Linked DNA regions of Lepisosteus oculatus. The protein of the gene in region 1 interacts with the protein of each later gene in a pairwise test. Links are inferred from orthologs where the notes say so. Each region holds a gene or a part of one and is shown in the gene's direction. Other genes may lie near its edges.

Evidence for each region.
Region 2: the proteins of nav2a (region 1) and pias2 interact in binary tests that used the Homo sapiens proteins (3 or more experiments, as listed by UniProt). The two-hybrid records come from large-scale screens. The link is inferred for Lepisosteus oculatus from reciprocal best matches to the Homo sapiens genes NAV2 and PIAS2.
Region 3: the proteins of nav2a (region 1) and rbm15 interact in binary tests that used the Homo sapiens proteins (3 or more experiments, as listed by UniProt). The two-hybrid records come from large-scale screens. The link is inferred for Lepisosteus oculatus from reciprocal best matches to the Homo sapiens genes NAV2 and RBM15.

Annotation. Positions count from the first base shown.
Region 1 is NC_090716.1:7,202,969-7,210,895, reverse strand, and holds the start of nav2a (neuron navigator 2), read left to right. Parts: upstream 1-4,923; 5' UTR 4,924-5,827; coding exon 5,828-6,082; intron 6,083-7,927. UniProt on the Homo sapiens protein: Possesses 3' to 5' helicase activity and exonuclease activity. Involved in neuronal development, specifically in the development of different sensory organs.
Region 2 is NC_090698.1:40,483,390-40,491,007, forward strand, and holds the start of pias2 (E3 SUMO-protein ligase PIAS2), read left to right. Parts: upstream 1-4,567; 5' UTR 4,568-4,890; coding exon 4,891-4,914; intron 4,915-5,587; exon of another isoform or gene 5,588-5,673; intron 5,674-6,488; coding exon 6,489-6,957; intron 6,958-7,618. UniProt on the Homo sapiens protein: Functions as an E3-type small ubiquitin-like modifier (SUMO) ligase, stabilizing the interaction between UBE2I and the substrate, and as a SUMO-tethering factor.
Region 3 is NC_090700.1:37,400,611-37,408,104, forward strand, and holds rbm15 (RNA-binding protein 15), read left to right. Parts: upstream 1-4,428; 5' UTR 4,429-4,606; coding exon 4,607-7,219; 3' UTR 7,220-7,488; downstream 7,489-7,494. UniProt on the Homo sapiens protein: RNA-binding protein that acts as a key regulator of N6-methyladenosine (m6A) methylation of RNAs, thereby regulating different processes, such as hematopoietic cell homeostasis, alternative splicing of mRNAs and X chromosome inactivation mediated by Xist RNA.

The DNA of each region.
Region 1 (7,927 bases):
CCTGCTGGAGAGAGTCTTCTCACGTGGGACACAGAGCGATAGAACTCCTTGGTACATTTCAGAACTGTAGCACTATAACAGTGTTTATGGGATTCTTTTGTTCACTGGATGTTTTACAACATCATGAATGTTGCATTTTGTAGAGATGCGTGGTTTAAGACTCTCCATTGAGCCATTAAAGCCCCTAGATCCTTTTCTCACATTAGTGGTGTTTTATTTTGTTTTTTTTTTTACGTGATTTAGCTTTCTCCGGTGCTGTCTGCACACAGGGGAGGATATAAAATCACAGGGCTGTGCGAAGAATCAGAAATGCAGAGGGAGGAGAAGGCAGCTCTCTCCTGGTTTTTATTTTTCTTTTTTTTGTGTGGCTGTGATGGTACTGTTGTTTTTTCCAGCTTGTCCACCCTTCCCCCCACCAGGAGAACTGAATCACACCTGCAAAATATTTTCCTCACGATGTGAACATGGAGCAGATTTAATCTGCTGTTGTCGTCGCCCTTCCAAAGGAGTGGCCCTCATGCCTGCTACATGCTGGGGTCACTGCATTGAGCTTGGATAGTAACGTTCTTGCAGACACACAGGTATTCCTTTACACATTTGGATTGGAGTGACTGTACTGTAAGTGGGAAGGAGGACAGTACAGTCCATGGTGGTTAGTAACACACATACATGACAGAAGATAGCCAGCTGCATAATAAATACTTGGGATTTGAGGAGATGGTTCCTGAAGACATAAAGTGAAGGTACTGAGTGACCTATGGGCGGTAATTAAGGCCTTACGCCTGCTAGTATCAGCCTTTCTCCTTACTGGTCAGTAAAGAGAGAGGCTACAGGGAAAGGCTAAGGGAAAGAGAATTTACATGAAAAGCTTTAACTAACACAGTCACATTATCAACAAATATATAAGTTCCTATAAAGTTGGGGAATCTTTATTGGATGTGACATTGCACACTTAGTTAAGATGAGCTCTATTTGCAAAGCATTGGTTTAGCCATCTAGTGTTACAATGGGAAGAATTTGTCTCCTTCAGGCTATATTTTCTAATAACATTCTTATAACATTATAATAAGAGTGTTGTTCCATTGTCTGTTAGATAATGTTGACCTGCTTTAGTGGAGTGGAAATCATTGCCCTGTTAGCCTTTGCATCTTCTGCATTATACAATTTGTTGAAGAACAATGCAGATCTGTTGCTGCTGCATCGAAAGTAAAGTGAGTCGCCCTTGCAGTCGTTTTACAAGTGATGACCAATGCTAATAATTGATTGATCTTTTCTCTATTAAAGACTCTGATATACTCTACTTACAAATTTGACAGTGGTGGTTTATTCAAGTTTAAAATCACAGACAATTTATCAACTACTGATTCGTATATTATTATCCAACATGTTAACAAAATCATCTGTTGATTACTGATTTAATTGTGCTGTGTCTGAACTCTAGTCTTCAATTGTTTCACAGTTGAGAAAAGGTGAGAACCTTTGTAATAGGAATTTTTTTTTTGTAATTTTAGAGAAGTACTGTGTCTTTATAAGAAATAGGGACAATAAACATTTCATATTTTCCTTTAAAAGTGAGTATTAGCCATCTTTCAGTATCTTAAGTGCTCGCCATGATAAAACCTCGTCCTTTAATAATAATAAATAATAATAAAGGTCTTTTCAGAGTTTTTGTGGTGTTCTAGGCATGCTTTTGTTTTAGCTATGTCTTATTCCAAATTGTCAATCAAATCAGTGCCCTACATAAAACCATGAATCTGTGTGTTTGCTCCATTGTCCTCTATTTAAAGTTCTATTTGGAAACTTAATGGAGTGTTTTGGTTTGTGTTGCTTTTTTCGTAAGGGGAAAAATCCTTTGGAAAAATGTGATGTAAAAGAGACGACTGGACATTTCCCCCGCCCCAGCCCCCCCACAGAGAATTCATGCAGCACTAAGTCAGATGTCACCAGTTCACGGCTGCAAATGTCTATTCTCTCAGTGGGGAGCAGCTAATAAACATGCCGTGTTCTTGTTTTTTTTTAAGTTCTTTTGGTTTCACCTCTGTTGTGGAGAGTAGTCAAAATGATTTTTTCACACTTCAGATGCGTTCACTTGTTTACACGGTGACCAGATGTACAACGTGCCCTTCAAAATCCCAAACTGCTTCTGTGCTTACTGTGGGATTTCGTTGTCATTTTGGTTAGTTAAAATTACTTTTATACCCAAATGTTCTTTGTCCCTTCAGTACTGTATTCTTTCAAAGTCTGTTCACAATGATTGAAACTTTGTGATTGAAAAATCACTCCATCAAGTGGAGCGATGACATAGCTGAAAGGCCTTCAGGGGCCAGTACAAAATGGAATAAAAGGCTGTGAAATAGAGGTTAGGACCAATGCCGAAGCCAAACCAATTTTTAAAGGATGGTGGGAAAGTTTGTAAAGAATATGACTAAATTGCAGTGAAGTCTATAGTGGCAGTGATATGGTCTTGAAATTGCAGACCGGATCTGGCTTTTCGTTTTTTGATTCCTCAGGAAATTTGATTTTAGGAAACCAGGGGTGTAGTGAGTATTGCAAACAGTACTGTGCTGTCTATGTTATGGATCATGTACTGTTCATTCCGTTTGTTTGACATTTTGTTTCTTTGGGAAACCAGGTCAGGCTGTGACTCAGTTGTATGGTTTTCCCATCAATTACTGTATAGCCCTTGCAGTGGTATTTGTCTTGGATTACCTGAGATCTTATTATAAGAAATAAGACATTTTTGAAGGAATAAGACATGCAAAGGTATCTGACTAAATTGGTCCCAAATGGACTGAATTTTTTCTGGTGCAGACCAATTTCCTAGCTTTATATATTCACTACATAAGCCATTTTTGCAGGTTATTTCCACTAATGCCTAAGGTCAATTGTATGTCTGAATTCTACAGAAAGCATTCTTTGTTCCCTAGTTTAAACAAATGACTTCAAAACAGCATCAATTTGCTTTTTTGTTCCAGGAACTCGTATGTCAGAAGTTTTTAATTTAAGGTGTGGGTTTGGGAGACCAGAAAAAAATGGAATATGCTATATTTATTCTTTGAAGTACTGGAATATAAAATTGAAAAAAATAAATCTGTTGTCATGGGAACCTGTTTTCTTTCTTGCCTGGAGGACAAATTGTAAACAGGACTACAACATTAAATAGTTGAGAATTTTAGATTTAATTTCATTTTAGAATGAACTCCCCTCCCCCAAACTGCTTTGTTGCTGACTTGAAAAGGAGTGTATGTAAATGTTTTTATGTGTTTGTTGATAATATTGTGAAGTGTAATGCTCTTTTGTCATATTTCATTGATATACAACACAAACATTCATAATTATCTTGTAGGCCTGTATTTAAGTTTGGATCAGTTAGTAGATTTAAATTAATGAGATTATTTGTGGGGAAAAAGTGTTCAGTTTGGTTATGTCACACTGACATGCTGTGGAAAGGTCTCAGGTGTGCAACAAAACCAAAAAAGACCATATTCAAAAGTGTGGATCTGGAGCTTTGTGTGGTTCTTTCTTGTATTTGAAACAAGCTCATGTTTCCTGTGGAGGTTCATGTAAAAAACTGAGACCTGAGAGTCATCAGGGAGAGCAGCTCCTGTCCTCCTGCTGCTGTTGCACTGTAGGAGCTCTGAGCATTTAGGGAACGAAAGAAGCCGAAGGCCTGGAGGTGGCACCTACTGTATAGTAGGAGGATAAGTGTAGCTTGTCTTCATCAACCTACTGCTCTGCTCTTCTAATTATAGTAAAGGGTCTTCATGCCTTTTCTTTTTCCAGCATTGCACATTTCTGTAGGAAGGGTAACGTAGGAACTGGATAACTCATACATACATTACTGTTGTAAGTAATTAAAAGTACAGTACTATTTATTTGAGGTAAACTTTTGAAAAGTCTACATGTCTTCAAAACAAATGAAAAACATAAGTGAAATGACTTTATTTTTCGATTCCCTGTCTCTGTGTCCATTTTGTGAGCACTCCAATTAGCTTGGCAGGCTATTATACTGATGAGTTAAAAACGTGAAGCCTTTTCTCCAGGCTTTCTTAACACTCAGACACACCCATAATCAGATCAGCTCGGACTTCCATTACTTAAGATTATGGTAACTGGATTACCGCAGGCAGTGAGGGAGTCACAGCATCAGTTTGTCTTTCTATGTTATGGAATTGCAGTCGACATTAATTTCATCCAGAAACTTAACATCAATGACATCATATGTGTGGCGAGTCCATTAAGGCAATTAATTTTCAGCATTAATGCATTTTTTTATATACATAATGTTCTAGAATGAATCAAAGAAAAAAGTCTTAACAGTCTTATTTTAATTGATTAAACGCCCTCAATCTTGACAAGCACAAGTAAAATTACTTTCCTTTTCAATAAGCCACTCTCCTGTACACTAAGTATTTTATATAGAGATGCCAGTTTGAAATAAAACAGTGGTATGGTGATACTGTAGGAGGCTGATTTAGTCACCAGCTTGAGCTGCCCAAGTCATAGACAATGTTTTTTGCATAAAGGACGTACTGTTGATTCAATATTAAAAATAGAAATGGACATGTATTGCCTTAACTGCATTAAAATATATTTGTTAGGCTGCTCATAATGCAGTCTTGCCCTAAAAAATGTTCCCTGCGTGTTTTCTTTCAGAAAATACCAAAGCTTCTGTTCAGACTTTGCTTTGAGGAGCTCAGAGGACAATATGCCTGTTGCAGTTCTCTGTTAGTTTGGAATAGCGCAGGCGCTGTATTGCGATGAAATGACAGGGAATTTCTGTAATCCTCCGTGCAAACCCCTCCTCTTTTGCAGGGATCCTTTTTTTTTTTTCAGTGAATGTAGCCAATCAGATTGCAGCACTCCACTACTGTCACACAGTACCCTATTTCTTCTTCATCTAATCTCTGTTGCCTCCTTCAGCTAAGCCAGGAGAACCTGACAGCTTTTTTTTAAAAAAAAGGTTCTTAAATCTGACCTGCAAGAGACGGTTTATCTAATGTGAACAGAAGGCAGCAATCAGCTGTGCTGCCTGGCGTCTGTGGGTGAGAGGCAATCTGTTTCTCTGCGTGGAACATGTGTGAAGGAAGAGGTTCATTTCTAGTCAGGAGTTCATATCATCAGCTGTGTGACGGAGATCTTTAAGAAGGCACTGGGATGCGTTGCCTCGTCTGTGAAGAAAGCTTTGGAGAAAAACTGTGCCCATAAGGAGGATGGTTAGACTAAGATGCTTGTCTCCCTGAGTCTCCTCTCCAAGGGCATTAGTCATTAACTTGCTAAGCTACATCTGCTACTTGGCTAACGCTGAAGGAAAAGGCTTCTTAATCTGGAAATCCTGCAATGACTCCTCTACAGTGACAGGAAAGCATATGTACAGTAGCAGCAAGTTGCCTCAAATGTTTTTTTTTCCCTGTTTGAGCATCACTATTCCGTTCAGCTGGTAATGAGAGGATAATGAAGGCACAGCTCAGTGGGAAGAAGTATCACATTATTGAGGCACAGGTGGGAACACTACCTCTGGAAACCCAACGGGGGACAGAAGGGCAAAAACCGAAGCAAATCACTCGGGACCGATGGTTTACCATTAAAAACTAGATAAAAAAATTCAACCGCTTGTCAGCAGGCTGTCAGGACGCTCCTGAGCGCGAGCTCCGATTCTCCTGCCGTAAGTGTTTGGTTCTGCTTGTGCTTCTTAATCGGGAGAAGCACGCGGTCTCACTACAGCAGCTGCTGGGTTTTTTTCCCTGCCTCTCCTGTCAGAAGCACATCTCTCAGGGCTCTGGCCTCTCCTCCTGACTGAAACGTGTTCGGAAAGCAAGAAGGGAAGATGCCGGCCATTCTGGTGGCCTCAAAGATGAAGTCTGGACTGCCCAAGCCCGTGCACAGCGCAGCTCCCATCCAGCATGTCCCAGTCAGGACTATCCCCCAGCCCTCCTACCTGAAGCTGGGCAGCAAGCTGGAGGTCTGCAAGCCTACCTACTCCAGCCAGATCCCCCTCAAATCACCCCACGGGCACGAGACTGAAGGGAATGGGGCTCCCCAGAAAAAGGGTAGCATTGTAGAGAATGGATTTGACACCCAGGTTAGATCACTCCTTGCGTTTTCCATTTCTGTGTTGTGTAGGTGTGTGTTTGTTTTAGAATAATGTTTCTATAGAGAAACCATGCTTTCTTTCTGTTTGCTAGGTAATGCATTGGAGACATAGTTGTAACAGTCGTACTGGCTATAATCAGAATTAATAATGATGGTGATGATTATTAGAATTGGCACCTTAGTGTATGTGTAATGCATAACTTGTCCCTCTAATGTGAATATCATTTTCATTGATTTGCGGGTGTTAACGTACATTTCATGTGCGTGTGTGTGGTTAATTGTTTTTTGAAGACCAAAATCCCTGAAATAACTTCACAATTAGTGTTTTCAATGTCTGAAAATTGTAGATTCTACTGTTGTCCACTTTAAGCATTGCAATCCTATAAGTAAAAACTGAAGAATTAGTCTGAATGTAGGGTTGCTGTAAGTGTCATTTTTTACAGTTGACATTGCTTAAGTAATATGCATTTCACATTACTGCTGGTTAGAAATCTATTAATAGGATAATGAGAATGCTGTGGAAATATATTCATAAGAGGTATTGGCTAATACAGTAAGCTAAAGTGTGACCTATTTCCTGCATGTATTGTATATTCAAGAAAAGATGTTGCAGACATTTAAAGGCTAATATATTCCTTTTTCCTCTTCTGTTATTTAGTATCTCAATGTTTTAGGTGGCAGTCCTTAAGTTGAAATTTTTAATCCTTTAATAACTACAGGATATGATTTCATAGTTAAAGACCCTGTGATATTCATGGCGTGTCAGGGTTGTGAAAAGAAACGTGTTTATAAGTCCTGTGCACATTTCCAGCCCTGATCCACTCCTTGTGAGGATTTACGTCTCTAGCATATCTCTTTGGTTACATTTCCCCAAGAAGAAAATGTAAAAAGCCCACAGCGTTGTCTTTTAATGGGCTTACCGTGGAATTAAATGCAAGTGATAGACAGTTGGTTTAGAGTGATCCTTGCTACTGCATATAAGCTCCTACCAGTTTGATATACTGTAAAAGCTTCATGCGTGTGGGGGTGTTGTTCTCTGTATGTGCCTGTTGCTAAGGAGGGTTAGTATCTATTTAAAGATAACGTTAAAAAATTCTAACCTTTACGAAACTAGCTGGCACTCTCTGTTGGCAAGTAAATTTAGCCATGAAATATATAGCCTTCACATAAATTCTATCTTGGATGTTATAGAGGAAATGTGGTGCACTGTGCACATATTAATAGGTCTTACAGGGATATAGCTGATAATTTAAGGCTTGCTCAGGCAGGGCACTACAGCAGATTTTTAAAAAGGGGCTAGGAACATAACGTTTTTTATTTTGTAAAGGCTGGATGTTCTGCCGTTCTATAATTGAAAGTGTGGTAATTTCTAATTTAGATTGATCTTTGTGTAATTGTATTCTATCTGGGATATAGTGTGTTTGAAATAGTAGGTTATTTCAAGATGTTTTAAAAAGGGTATAAAACCAGTAACCTGTGACTCTGCCCCATCTGGCATCTATACAGAGAAATGTAGCTTTGTATGCAATTTATGCAATTTGAACGTTTACAAAGTTTAGCCTATATTTTACAATTTGTATAGAGTTTTCATATTTATTAGGCTGTCAGACCTTCTAGGACTCTTATTTTTTGTTTTGATTCTAACTGTAGTTAGTATCGCCTTTCTCATATGTCTGTTATCGCTGCCAATATATTGTTGCTAAAATGCCAAAAATATTTTGCACACAGCGCCTCGTTTTTGTTACATCTGTAAACCGTGCAAATAAAAAAACACAAATATGTTCCTTACTATACAGGAAAGTAGTTTAAGAAACTTGGTAAACCCCAGTGTCAC
Region 2 (7,618 bases), on another chromosome or scaffold:
ATAGAAAATGATCAGATAACTTAATGTTGTATCAACATTAAGTCATCTGACCATTTTCTTTTTTTTTTACAATTTTAATCGGTTTTAAAATACGTTGAGTTTAACTTTCCTCTAGTTACCACACAGTGACAAAAGACTAATTCCAGCACCACTGCCAGTACAACACAATCTGTTTCTATCACAAATGCTCAAACTAAAGGCATGGCTGTCATGTTACGTGTTTGCATTGAAAAGCAGCAGCAGTACAATCGCTGTACTGACCGACTTGAAATTCGGCAGGTTTCTTGTCATTCATGAATACATCCCATCATATTCATTTTCAATCAAAATCCAACCAAAATATCTTATATTTTCACTACATTTCAGATATTGTATTATATAAGATCTGTATCTTGACCTGAATGAAAATAACGGTACTGAGTCTATGGCTGCTACTGTATGGCTCTCAAATCCGATTTTATGAAAAAAGATTTGTAAATCTCTTCTTCACGTGTATAGCAAATTGTACAGCTGTACAGCTGTGTGCATAGTCCTCCCGTGACCACAGTTATGGCTGTCATGTTGCATTATTTACTAGGAACATTTTCGTCAGGGACCCTTTTAGCAGATTAACAGGAAATTGAATTGTATATGCTTACATTGTACTGCCCCTAACAATGTAATTAAACATCAGGTTCTACATGAATACCTACACTAACCACCATGAGACATTCAATTTGTGGATTTTCTGCTAAAAAAGTGATTCCTATTCTCAGTGCTAAAAACACTTCCCTGTAACTTTCATTTCTGTCCTCTGTTGTGAGGTCCACTGTTGATTCTGAACAAATCCTTGAGACACTTAGTTGTTTTTGTTTCTCCAAGCATTGCTGCCACGTTCATCTCCCATCAGCTCCATTGGTTTATTTATGTTGTCTCTTAGCTTAATCATGACAATACATCAAGTGTATAAATCATAACATTATCAATTCTTTGGAGATTATGGCTTTTTAAAAACCCAGAAGGAGGAAGAATATTTGGAATGAAGCCTAGCACTTTAAGAAACAAAGGTGTCAAACTGAGGAAGCAAGGCAAGAGTATCAAGGGGAGCTTACCATGATCATATTGCACACTATAAATCAGGATGCCTCCTGAGACAAGTTGTTACCTGCTCAAGTTGTCAGAGTGTGTGGTTCCCTGATTGGCTTTGTCAGTCCCCTTCGGATTCATGGAAGAAACTCATTCTCGTGAGATGGCAAGTGAGTAACAATGTGGTGTACAGTATATGCAGAATTTGTGTTTTTGTGAAATATTAGCATTTGTACTGTACATAGTTCTATATAACTACAGTACATTATCCTTTTTTGGTACAACAATGCTGTTCTTTCTTCTTCAGGTGCTTGGTATTAAAAAGTTGAAGAAAAGATTAATTTCCCACTTCAAAGTAAAAAGAAAATAAAACTCACTTGAAGAAGGTTCCCTTGCTGTAATGGTGTGTTGTTGATTCTCTCTTCTCATTGTAGAATTTGTGAATAGTCCATCACTTGCACAAATATTGCACTGGTAAGATTAGTTCATTTTTCAGGGATGGCATAAATGTTATGTAATTCCAATTTTAAGATTTTTCTTAATTAATCCGACATTCGTTTTTTTGGTTACTGCTTAAAGAACCACTGCACGCTAGGTGTGGTCCATAAAAGGCTACAAACTGGTTATGACGATATTTTTATTTAGTTTGCCCAGAGCACCCAGTTCACTCCATTAATATTAATTTGTACTTCTAAAATAATCATGCAGTATAATTATTGTAATGCAATGCTTTATTACTTTAATAAGGTATTTTAATAAAAGACTGGAGCTGTTATCAAGCAGTTACCTGTTACCAGCATTCTTAGCATACTGTAACATGCAAATTATCTTAGATTAGACTTCAGTTATTCCATGATCAATAGTTCTAACAGAGAACAGAAGACAACAACAAAGATTATTTTACTGAGAGCTACAATTTAGACACATTTGCTAATTAGACTCAGCGGTGATATATCCTTATTAACGTAAATCAATTCAAGTGAAGAAAGGTGCAATCTGCATCTTGATTGTTTCAGTTCCTAACAGAAATTGCAGTTTACCTTGCATATTTTATTTGATTCTCATTATTTCTGATTTTCCTTCAAATGGAAAAGCTTCCTGGGTTTTGCTGACTGCAACAGTGTGTCTGTAGAAGTAAATAGTTGATATTTGTGCAGGACGGCATGCTAAATCATTCAAATGACTCTAAATAGGCCATTTTGGATACCGAATTACTGAATGCGTGCACCCTGGAATTAATTAATGGGATGAAGGGAAAACATATGCTGTAGATGCATTTCAAGCACTTAAAATCAGTCAGTAACCTTAGCCAATTAATGCAGAGACGCTTTTGAAAAGATCATTTAAAAGCATAAATTTTCTTCAGTTCTTATTCTGTGTATAGGCAACATCATGCTTATGGTTAAGGTATTCAATACTACCTTGGGGCAGTTTTTCCTCGTAGAACTAATACTGGCTATGGAACAACACAGAAATAGAAACAAATGTGCCTGATGGGTTTAACGGCCATCGAGCTCTTGTATGACCTTTCTAATGTTCTCATCCTTCTGAATGGAAACATCCCCTTTTTCTTCAGGAGAGTTTTGATTCCAGCTTTTTTTCACTGCGTTTTGCACATGTATGTCTATATCTCATAGAGTTTCAGTAATCTTGGAATACTTTTTGCTCATGGTGTGGATTTGACACCTGTGGTATAATGACACTAATATAGCCTTATTGAAGTGAACCACGTGGATTTCAAGTGCCCAGCAGAGTCTCGTTATTTTTCTCTGTCCAGTGTTGTACAGCTCTGGACTAGTTCTTCTGGAATATGTGGTCAATAATTTAGGAAAGTTCCATCATACTGTATAAATCAGAAGCTAAAGTAGTGACAAATAAATATGTTAAAGTATGTTGATGAATGGTGACTCGGTGGTGCAGATGTTGGCTTTGCTGCATTGTAGTGCTGGGGCCCTGAGTTATTGTACATGTGGTGCTATCTGTGTGGAGTTTGTATGTTCTCTTCAGCTTCATGGGGGTTTCCTCTGGGTGCTCCCCAGTGTGTCTGAAAGTGTGTGTGCAATGGACTGGCATCTCATTCAATGTTTACCTTGCCTTTCGCCTGTCAAACGCTGGCTCTGGTTCCCCGGCTACCCTGAATTGGATGAAGTGGTTGGAAAATGGATGGATTGATGGTGATGAATGTGATTTTCATCACCGTCTGATCAAATAGAAAATGCAAAATACAAACAAAACCCCATAATTATTCTATTGTTTGGCTTTGTAAATTAAATGCAGGAATTTACAGTACTGTATGTCAAGTGTATATTTTGTTTTTTTGTGCTTTGTTTTCTAAATAGCAGAACCACCAGAGCTTTGGAATATTCTATTAAGTCATTGTAGTGCACTTCTTCAGAAAGAACACTGAAACATGAACTAAACAACACAAGTGGAAACAACATGGAACAACATTGATCATTTAAAAATAATTCCAGTTATGATGTCTGTGAATTAAAAATGTGGGTGTTTACACTATGCCAATAGGTTATTTGCTGATCATTAAAATGACTCTGATTCCTTCTATTTTTTTAACAAGAAAAAGTTCTGCATGTTTTGTTGTAGCATATCCAGTTATGAGGTGATGCTCCCATCTTGTGGCAATAGGATGCACAGCAACATCTAGTTTCAGTGATGATTTCCAAAGCCTTTGTATTTGGTATCACTTTCGTATTCATTCTGGTATAGTTCTTTTGCCATAAGATAGTATATATTAGTAACGATTCTGAGCTGACTGTAGTGTGATTTTGTTTTGTAAAATGCTTAACAGAACAGAAGGAATTCATTAAGAAGTCGGTTGTGTTACAGTTTTCCGTTTAAAAAGTTTTTCAGATCTTTTTTTTTATCTGGAATGAATATAGAAAATCTTTCTTTTTGCAAGTTGGGGCTGCAGTACAGAACATTACTTATGTCAAATTCACTTTATATTGCATCTCAAATCATTATCTGCAATTTTGAGAGTGTGATTTAAAATTTGTCAAGCATTCCGCCTCTTACATTACTTGACAGATTTCAAATATTCACATATTTCATATTATTTTGATGTTTTACCATGTTGTTAGCATTTTAAATAAAGTACCTTCAAATTATTGTATAAAGATTCACATTGTTTAAATTTCTGCCAACATTTCAGTACCAATTGCCATGTAAATTATTTAAGTATTTGAAATCACTATTTTTCTTGTTTTGTTTTACAAATTGATCTTGGGCCCCATGAGGTAATCAAACAGCCATGGGTAGACCTCTTAAAGTAATCTTCTTAATTTCTTAAAGCTTCATTTGCAGGATTTTATTAATACAAATATGGGTCATTTAGAGTGATTGAATGACTTCTCATTCTGTCTTAAATGTACCAAGCCTTAATTTCCACAAGGGCTCCTCTGATTGGTGGGAGAGGGAGTACGTGGAACAGTAGGCAGTTGCTTACACAAAGAGAGAGGATTAACAAAGAAAAGAAAGAAAAGAAAATCTAGTTTTGTAGAGGATGCTGATTCAAATATCCTTCCAAAAGCCTTCTAAATGAAGCAGTGGCACTGCAAGCTACCAAAACTCTGATAATTATAATTTGCAAGACTGGCAACTTTAATGTTTTTTTGTATCTCTGCAGTTTACGATCAGAAATGGACACTTCTGCCTTCAATGTGACCAGTTCCAGTAAAGCCTTTTAGATAACATGCAATAGGCCCACGCTTTGTCCTTTCTTATGTTGCGCTTCCCAGTTCTTTCAAGGGCTCACCCTAGTCACGTGGGTGGTACCCTGGAGCGGTGCAGGATGGTCGCGGAAAGAAAATGGCGGATTTTGAGGAGCTGAGGGTAGGAGAAAGTATTAAATTAATTTCGTGTTACATAGAAAGAGCACTGAGCATCGTCGTAAAGCATTGGAATGATTGGGTATATCTGTTATGGAATCGTTACATTAGAACTGATATTTTAATTGGAGTTTACTAAGTGGAGACGTTAATGTCTGCCTCTTGTGTTTTGGTCGGAGGTTACGGTTTATTTGGTGTCTCGTAAAATAATTATATTATTAGGCCTGTTGAGTGTAACTTTTGAATTCTAATAGATGTGTCTTTAAGTACACATTTTCTGCTATTTGATTCATCATTGTTGTCGTAGATGTGTTTTTAGGTTTTATGAACGGTATTTTTTCCGCCAAAACATCTGGTCTAGACTGTTGTGTTGTACATATTTACAGCTTGTGCCAATTCTCGAAACCATGTAAGTAGCCTCTTCATCCGTATAGCAGATGCATTTCTACCGATTTCGAGATCAACCGTTTTGTCACCAGAACCGTGCAATCTGTTGTGAACTCCGTGCTTCTGATTATGGTGCCCTTTATCTCTTTATTATTCCAACTTTTAACTGTTGCTTAATCTCTGTTGCAGTGTGTTTGCGACAAGGACTGCTTACAGTACGTGTGTTGTCTGCCTTGTTTTTTTTCTTTTCCCGTTTTTAATGGGTTTTGGAATTATTCTTAACATTTTAGATGCTATACGATCACATTTGTTAAGGAAATGTAAAGAAAAAGGATTAACAAGTAAGAACAATCAAGCATGGACCATATAATGAAGGGTCAGTCGGGGTTTTCTTACTTTTTTTCTGTGGGTTTTTCAGATGGGATTTCTTGGGAGGGACGTGGTCATCAAACCACAGTTAAGGGGGAGAATTGTCAAATTGATGATGGATATTATAGATGTGTATGGGTGGAGTATAAACTACATGCCGCTCAGCGAGCAATGCAGAGCCGGTGGAACTCTACTGCTCCAGAGGTGACAGTCGTTTTCCCCCCGCCGTGCTAATAGACAAAGTACCGTTCACTCTCCTGAATGCACTCAAAATCCTGTACAGAAACCACACCTGGCTGCTTTCTAACGTCTACAGTGTGCCTTTGATGTACTTCATTTTATAAAGAATTCAAATCCGTTATTGGAGGAAATGTAAGCCTCATTCTTACATTCATACATAAGATGGCACTGAAGCATCCCTGGACTGACACAGTAAAAATAATTTAGTTGTTTGAGTATTTAATAGGAATAATTGGAGCTTCATAAGGTGCTGTCGCCGTAGAAAGTGTTTTGTACTTGTTTGTCACTTTACCCGCACATTGCTATAGTGGTGAACACTTCTAGTTCTTGAGCTCTTCAGGAGGTGGTTTAATCTCAATTAGTTCTTTGTGATGTTTTTCTTGCCTTTCTGCTTGTGATGTAAAATGATGATAAAGGAGCCCTGTAGCACAAGAGCTATGATTATTCAACACTTGTAGAGATGGTAGATTATCCTTTTATTATGGTGTCAATAGTATAATTTGCCCAGTGTTCTGCCTTGCTGAAGTTGTGCTGAACCAAATAAACACCCGTCAAATGTTTATATTTTTTGTATTTTTTCAGAATATGGTTTCAAGTTTTCGGGTCTCAGAGCTACAGGTTTTATTGGGCTTTGCAGGACGTAACAAGAGCGGTCGCAAGCATGAACTCCTTCTGAGAGCCTTGCACTTGCTAAAGAGTGGGTGCAGTCCAGCTGTTCAGATCAAAATTAAGGAACTGTATAGACGACGTTACCCCAGAACAATCGAAAGTCTCCCCGACTTGTCTGCCCTCAAGCCCTCCGGCTTCTCCCTGAATAGTAACTCTTCCCTCGTGGACCCGGACTTGGCCGGAGCCGGTGTGCATTCTCGCGCGCCTGGCTCGATCCCGCCGCACTCCGCAGCGCAGAGTCCTGTCCTGCTGCACGAGACGAAGCCCGGGATCGACATGCAGCAGCCGGCACCTCCCATCCCGCCTGTCCATCCTGACGTCCAGCTGAAAAGTTTGCCATTTTACGATGTGCTGGATGTCCTGATCAAACCCTCAAGCTTGGGTAAGCATCTGTCTCTTCTTTGCTCTGCACTGTGCATGCAAAATACTTTATTAGAAATTGCCCACTGTAATTGTAAATATAATAGAGTGCTGCTTTTAAGCAAGTAATCAATCAGTGATATTTCTTATATTTAGCTGTTTTTCTTTGCAACGCTAATTCAGATAATGACGTTCTAGAGTAAATTGTGAACAATTAGGCACTTTTGCTGGTTGTGGACTATAGGACATAAAGGAGCGTTATAATTTTATTATCTCCCTTATCTTATTTTTGAACAATCATCATACTGAATTTTGAGGGGTCTAATCAAATTTGCAAAATGAGTGAAAGCATTTCACCACGCAGTGTCTGCACTAGCAAATCTTTCCATAAGAACAATTTCTGCAAATGCAACCAGTGGCAATTTTAAGAATGTGACAGTCTCAACCCAACCTCGTGACACACGTTTTATGGCTGCACTTAGAAAAGATATTGCCTGATTATAGCTTTGGAATCATCATTGGGAAGGAGCAGTTGGCTTAATCTGTGGTGTAGGTTTGCACAACGTATGTATTTGTGCATTTTGCTATAAGAATAGAAAGAAGGCCAGCATGGAGAATGACCAGTCCCAAGAGACATCAGTAGTCTTCTTTTCACAGCTTACATTTTGGTCTGTCTTGTCAGA
Region 3 (7,494 bases), on another chromosome or scaffold:
AGGTGGCTGCTGGAAGAGGTGGTAGTGGGACCAACAGGGGGCGCTCATCTGTGTGGGACCTAATGCCCCAGTATAGTGACAGGAACACTATATTGTAAAAAGGCGCCATCCTATGAATAAAATGTAAAACCCAGGACTCTCTGTGGAATTTCCCACAAATTCCAGGGTACTTCTCAAAAAGAGTAGGGATGTTACCCCAGTGTCCTGGTCAAATTTCCCATTGGCCTTTAGCAATCATGGCCTCCTAATAATCCCCATCTATGAATTGGCTTCATCACTCTGTTCTCCTCCCTAATGATAGCTGATCATTGTGATCATTGTGAGTGTGGTGAGCATACTGGTGCACGATGGCTGCTGTCGCATCATCCAGGTAGGGCTACATATCGGTCGTGGTCCAGAAAAGCACTATATGAGGGTAAGAAATTATTATTAAATTATTTTTAAAACAAAAGAGATGGAGAGGCAGGTAACAGGGGTTGTTTCCAATAATAGCCTAACAATTAAGATGCCCTAATCAGAATTCACCCAAACCATCAGCTTTTATGACATTCATTATCTTCTTTTAAATCATGTTTGACTTAAGCCACATGAATAGAGTGGTGAACATGTGGAAGATATAATCAGTGAATATTTACAGCAGCGAGACAAGAACGACATTGGCAGCTGTGTGCTGATCTGAGCCTTAACTGAGGCTGCTGCCTGTAAGATAATGGAGCTGGGCTTGAGGAACAGCTCATTAGTGTTTGGAGGAAGATCCACAGCTACAGTGACTGTTTCATCAATGAAGCACATCGGTTCTTAGGTACAGACTGTAATAGCACTGGAGCTGTTGCTGATCCAACTTGGCAAAGGCTGAGAGTTTCCATTTTTCAAGGCTTTTATTTTTTGTTGCAAGAAGATAACCACTTCACTTTTCAGGTTTTTTTTCCACAGATAGTTTGCCCTGTGTTACAGAATCTTGTAAGCGGTAATCTTTTTCAACAACAAATTTATAACGGCAGTCTCAGTGGACTCAGTGGAATCTTATGAAGTTATCTGTGGACAATGTTATTGTTTTCAAGGTTTGAAAAATGTGCCCTAGTTGGATTGATCTTGTGTCAATACAATAGGAAACAATGGGTGTGAAGAATTAATGGCCCATCGTTTCGGCAGCCACAACTACAGAGGGAGATAACAGGAAAGAAAATCCATCAATCCAGCAGCCATATCACCCTGCAACTCACAACTGGCAACCCACTGAAGCTAAGCAGGTGTGAGCCTGGTCAGTACCTGGATGGGAGACCTCCTGGGAAAAACTAAGGTTGCTGCTGGAAGAGGTGTTAGTGGGGCCAGCAGGGGGCGCTCACCCTGTGGTCCATGTGGGTCCTAATGCCCCAGTATAGTGACAGGGACACTATACTGTAAACAGGCGCCGTCCTTTGGATGAGATGTAAAACTGAGGTCCTGACTCTCTGTGGTCATTAAAAATCCCAGGGTGCTTCTCGAAAAGAGTAGGGTCTCCTGGACAAATTTCCCATTGGCCCTTACCAATCATGGCCTCCTAATAATCCCCCTCTATGAATTGGCTACATTACCCTGCTCTCCTCCCCACTGATAGCTGATGTGTGGTGAGTGTTCTGGCGCACTATGGTTGCCGTTGCATCATCCAGGTGGGGCTGCACATTGGTGGTGGTGGAGGGGAGTCCCCATTACCTGTAAAGCACCTTGAGTGGAGTGTCCAGAAAAGTGCTATATAAGTGTAAGCAATTATTATCTGCGTGGAGTCTGTATGCTCTCCCCATGTCTGCATGTGTTTTTTCCAGGTGCTCTGGTTTCCTCCCACTGTCCAAAGACATACTATTAGGAAAATTGGCTTCTGGGAAAACTGACTCTGGCATACGTTTGTGCATGTCTGTGTTTTTTGTTTGTGTGTGCCATGTGATGGACTGGTGTCCCGTCCAGGGCGTGCCCTGTCTTGTGCCCTGTCTTGCCAGGAGAGGCTCCAGCTCCCCCACGACCCTGAACTGGATGAAGTGGTTAGAAAATGGGTGGATGGACGGATGAGATGAGATTACGCTGTGAAGCTCTGAGTTAAAATCCTGTTTAAAACAGATGTGCTGATTACTGCCTAGCAATAATTGTGCTTCGGCTAAACCTCATAGGCTACAATACTGCCGTTAACCTCACCAGTAAAGAAACACTGAGCTTCTTGTATTGGCATAAAGTCACACTGAGAGGCATTAAAAACACATCAAGTATTATGAACAAATCCATTTGTTGCATTTTATATGCCTCTGGATATATAAAGTTTCATACAAAATATTTGTACCTTTTGTTTTAACTTGCTAAAAATCTTGCTACCACTTGGTAGAGTACATGAATGAGAAATACATTTAGATGATAATATTTTTAGTATAGTTTAACAAATATATTGATTAAACATAATAGGGTATTGAATAACATTATTGGAAATGGTGTGTGTACAAATGTTAGCCAGCAATTGTATCACTTAATTTTCCATCACACACTCTGGCTATTAAAAATGCATAAGATCCGTTCAAAAGCCATTTTAGCAATTAAAATTGTCATCCAAGTAGGATGATTTTGAACAAGTAAAAGCACATAAATGCAGTTCACGGTTCCCCCTGCTGGTGGTTTGTAGACTTGTTCCCTAAGTAAGACGCAGTCAGCTGTATGATTTGTACATTTTAACTTAAAACATAAGCACATTTATGTCAATACTTTAGAGTAATTATACTGCTTACAAATAATAATAACATTGGAAGTGTTTAAGTAACCCACTGATTTCACCTCTGATCCTTAAACGCTATGTCTTTCATTCCAAATGAACAGAGCCCATAACGACTTAACTGAGTTCACAGATCTGTATTACTACTGCTATCAGGTTTTCAACAATGGAGGCTTGCTCACCCATTTAAACCTGGCTTGTAGTACCCATTATCTGCTGGGCTGTTACTCTCATAGACCACGCATTACTGCCAGTGCACAAGTCCTTCAAAACCTTTGCAAAGACACTGACCTGGGAATATTGCTATTGCTGAGCTGCAAACTTTTGAGAACAGAAGAATATTTCAAACAATTAACAGGAACAGTAAGCATGAAGAATGTTATGAAATTTAACATTCAGATCAAATGAAAGCTGCTTAAAAACTATAGGCCTACCATTCATAATGCCATGCAATACACCATGAATATCAGCAAGGGTTATTCTCAGACGAGGGACAGAAGCCCCTGGGAGATTACAAATAATAAACATTACATTTATTATTTTGATCCTTTCGAAAATCAGGTTGCACTCGTGAAAACACAAGAAAAGTAGGTTGCATAAACTTACTGGCGCAGGAACATATTACTTACATTTAAATGTGTTTCTAATACATTTTTGTGGTTTATACAGTTTACCTTCTAACAACAGGAAATGGTGTGCCCGATTTAAAAATCCCTTTAAACACCACATAGCCCTAAATTACTCCAGATAACGACTGATTTTTTTTTCTTTAAGAGATGTCTTATATTAGTTACATATATTTCAGGAAGACACATAATACACAAATACACATTTTCATGCTACAACTTAATCGATGTAACGATACACATAGAAGACAGAAAGTATATAAAGTATTCGGGTTGATAGACAAAATATTAAAATGCAGGAACGCCCAGCATTTCTCGAACTCTTTCAGTTTATGTTAAAAAAAAAACACTTTGTACTTTGGGTGATAAACTGTTTAGCACGCTTGGTTAAAACTACCACAAATACAGTACACGACACGTAACTGAAAATAAGAAAAAAAACGTACTTTGTTAGACGTTACCATAGCCACGACTCACTAGGGTATGATGTACCAGGTGTTCCGAAAGTGAGAAACTGGAACAGTGTCCTCGCCATTATGGATTCTATTCTACATAGAGTGACACATAATGCAGCTACCACTACTGGAACCGTAATGGCTGCCATTTCCAAAAAATAAAAGAACCTTTGTAAAGCAAATATATGACGGTAGCAGAAAAATAAAAGCTTATCTTCAACGAAGACATTGCTGTTTTCTTATGAAAAAATAAAATGTCTTAACTTTATGTAAAAATACATTATGTTATTTAAGAATTAACATCAGCTTGGACGGGGCAAAGACCCAAGTCATGTGGGCGGGTGCTTTTAACACATTTTGTGCCAATAAAATAAGCTTAATTTTGAGAAAACGATTCCTGTTTAAAACAACGTTGTTTTTAGACAGGGTATAATAGTGCCAAAAATTAAACCGCTTTACAGTTTCTCAATATAAATGCAGCGTGCTACGACTGAAGCCGAGTCCCATAAAGCAACACAAAGACCCGTATTGAGTGGCATTACTTTTAGCCAATAACATTCTCCCAACCGACACAGTTCCACCAGTAATAACGCGAAGGCGGGGTCTATCATGTGTTGTTCCAAAATGGCGTATGCGGGCTTTTTGCTGAAGGGACAGTGAGGGGTGGAAAATAACTTGAATATTTGGCAATAATATAATAAGAAAAGTAACTGAGAGTGGCTGCCCGTGATAACGTGTTTAGTGATTTGCTTTTTTCGAGTGAGTAAAAGCCGGCCTGAGGGAACAATAGTTAAAAGATGAAGGGCAAGGAGAGATCACCGGTGAAGAAGCGCTCTCGGGCCTTGGACGACATCCGAGACAGAGGAGGAAGCCACCCCACCAGCAAGAAAATGGGGACCCTCTCAGCGGCCGGAGGCAGCAACAATGGCAACAGTTCCGTCAAAAGCGAAGGGGGCTCTGCTAGGAGGAGTCTGCTGGCCGAGAAAAGAGAAAGTCGGGACTTCGACGGACACGTTTCCAGCCGGGCCGGGGGCAATCACAGCTATGCCAACGCCGCCGCTAGCTCCAGCAGCAAAAACCACAACAACCTGACTCTCGACCCGGCCGCCACCAGGACCAATTCCCGCGGGGAGCAGCGGCCTCCGCTCACCAGTACCGAAAGTGAGTACAAGACTCTAAAAATAAGCGAACTGGGTTCGCAGCTGAGCGACGAGGAAATAGAGGACGGGCTGTTTCACGAGTTTAAAAAATTCGGGGACGTGAGCGTTAAAATCAGTCGGATTAACGACGAAAGGGTGGCGTTTGTCAACTTCAGGCGGCCCGAGGATGCCAGGGCAGCCAAGCACGCCCGGGGAAGGCTGGTCCTCTACGACCGCCCTTTGAAGATCGAAGCTGTGTACATTAACCGGAGAAGAAGTCGCTCTCCCATTGAAAAGGAGGCTTATGCAGCAGTGGCAGGGCACAGACATTTGCATGCCCAGAGACCTCTGTCCCCCACTGGGCTTTGCTACAGAGACTACAGGCTGCAGCAGCTAGCCCTGGGTCGCCTACCCCCTCCCCCGCCCCCACCTTTACCCAGAGATCTGGAAAGGGAAAGAGAGTATGCCTTCTATGAAGCACGGGCACGCCCAGCTTACAACATCGCAGAACGTGCCGCCGCTTTCCGTGAGGAAGAGCTGATTTCGCCAGAAGATGACCAAAGAGCCAACAGGACTTTGTTCTTGGGGAACCTGGATATTGGCGTCACAGAGAGCGATCTGCGCAGGGCGTTTGACAGGTTCGGGGTGATCACCGAGGTGGACATTAAACGGCCCTCCCGTGGCCAGACCAGCACGTACGGTTTTCTCAAGTTTGAGAACCTGGACATGGCTCACCGGGCAAAACTGAGTATGTCGGGTAAAGTGATCTGCCGAAACCCCATTAAAATTGGCTACGGTAAGGCCACTCCCACCACGCGCTTGTGGGTGGGCGGACTCGGACCCTGGGTTCCTTTGGCTGCCCTGGCCAGGGAGTTTGATCGTTTTGGTACCATTCGGACTATTGACTACAGAAAGGGGGACTCGTGGGCCTACATCCAGTACGAGAGCTTGGACGCAGCACAGGCAGCTTGCACCCACATGCGCGGTTTCCCGCTGGGGGGACCGGAACGGAGGCTGAGGGTGGATTTTGCCGACACGGAGCACCGCTACCAGCAGCAGTACCTACAGCCCTTGCCCCTGCCTCACTACGACATTGTGGCGGAGTCGTTTGTGCACCGCGCTGCCCCGGAGTCGCTGCGGGTTAGGGAGAGGACTCCTCCGCCCTTGCACTTCAGAGAAAGAGAACTCTACCCGGCCACCGATTGGGCTGCTCCTCCAGTCCGGGACAGAGTGAGGGCGGCTTTCGATCCCCTGGACCATCTGGACCGGGAGCGCAGGCCGAGGGAGGCCTGGTCCCTGGAGCGAGAGAGAGAGCTGCAGAACCGTGACCAAACGCGCAAGCGGCGGCTGCTGGAGGACAGCCGCCACCTGGACCGCTCTCCTGACAGCAGCGAGCGCGCCCGAAGGCGTCACTGTCCCTCCCTTGAGCGCAGCCCAGGGGGGAGCAGTGGCAGAGACGGGGGGCGATACAGCGATTCGGAGCGGCCCCTGCGCTCCGAGAGGCCCTCCCCAGCACGGGACAGGCATGCCAGCCTGGAGAGGGCTGCTGGGGAGAAGCGGGGAGGAGAGAGGTTAAAAACTGTCAGTGCGGGGGAAGCGGCTGCAGGCGGAGTCGGGGGTGGGGCAGGATCTGGTGTGGAAAAAGAGCGCAAACGCAAGATCAGCGAGACCAGCAAGAGCCCAGCCAAGAAGGAGGAGCGCTTCGAGATGAGCTCTTCCAAGGGCAGCCAGGGGCTGAAGCAGGAGGCAGGCCAGAAGCTGTGCCTGGCCTGGCAGGGTATGTTGTTGCTGAAAAACAGCAACTTCCCCTCTAACATGCATCTCTTGGAAGGTGACCTCAACGTGGCAACCAGCCTGTTGATCGACGGCTCTACAGGTGGCAAAGTGGCCCAGCTGAAAATCACCCAGCGTCTGCGTCTGGACCAACCGAAGCTTGATGAGGTTACCCGACGTATCAAGGTGGCAGGCCCCAGCGGCTACTCTGTCCTCCTGGCGGTACCAGGGAACTCCGAGGGCGGGTCGTCTTCATCTGAGCCAGCATCGTCCACCCAGAGGCCGCTGAGGAACCTGGTCTCTTACTTAAAGCAAAAACAGGCCGCAGGAGTTATCAGTCTCCCCGTAGGTGGCAGCAGAGACAAGGACAACGCTGGAGTCCTTCATGCTTTCCCTCCCTGTGATTTCTCTCAACAGTTCTTGGATTCCTCTGCTAAAGCTCTTGCCAAAACAGAAGAGGACTACCTGGTGATGATCATTGTTCGTGGGGCATCATAAAAAAGAGAAAAAAAAATCTTGTAATCTATCCACAGCACTGCATGCGCTCTGTTCTGCATTATGGGATACAGCAATCTCTAAATCTGGGGGCTGCGGGCCCTCAGATGTTTTGCCAAAAAGAAAAACACCTTCCTTTTAGAAAAAAAAATATTGATCCACAGGTTTTGGGGGTCCAAATAGCTAAAAACAAAAAGCTCTGAAAACTTCAAATTCATTGTCATGCATGGAAAATTGTTGTTGTCTGTCTGTTTATGCTGTACCCAATCAGATGTTAG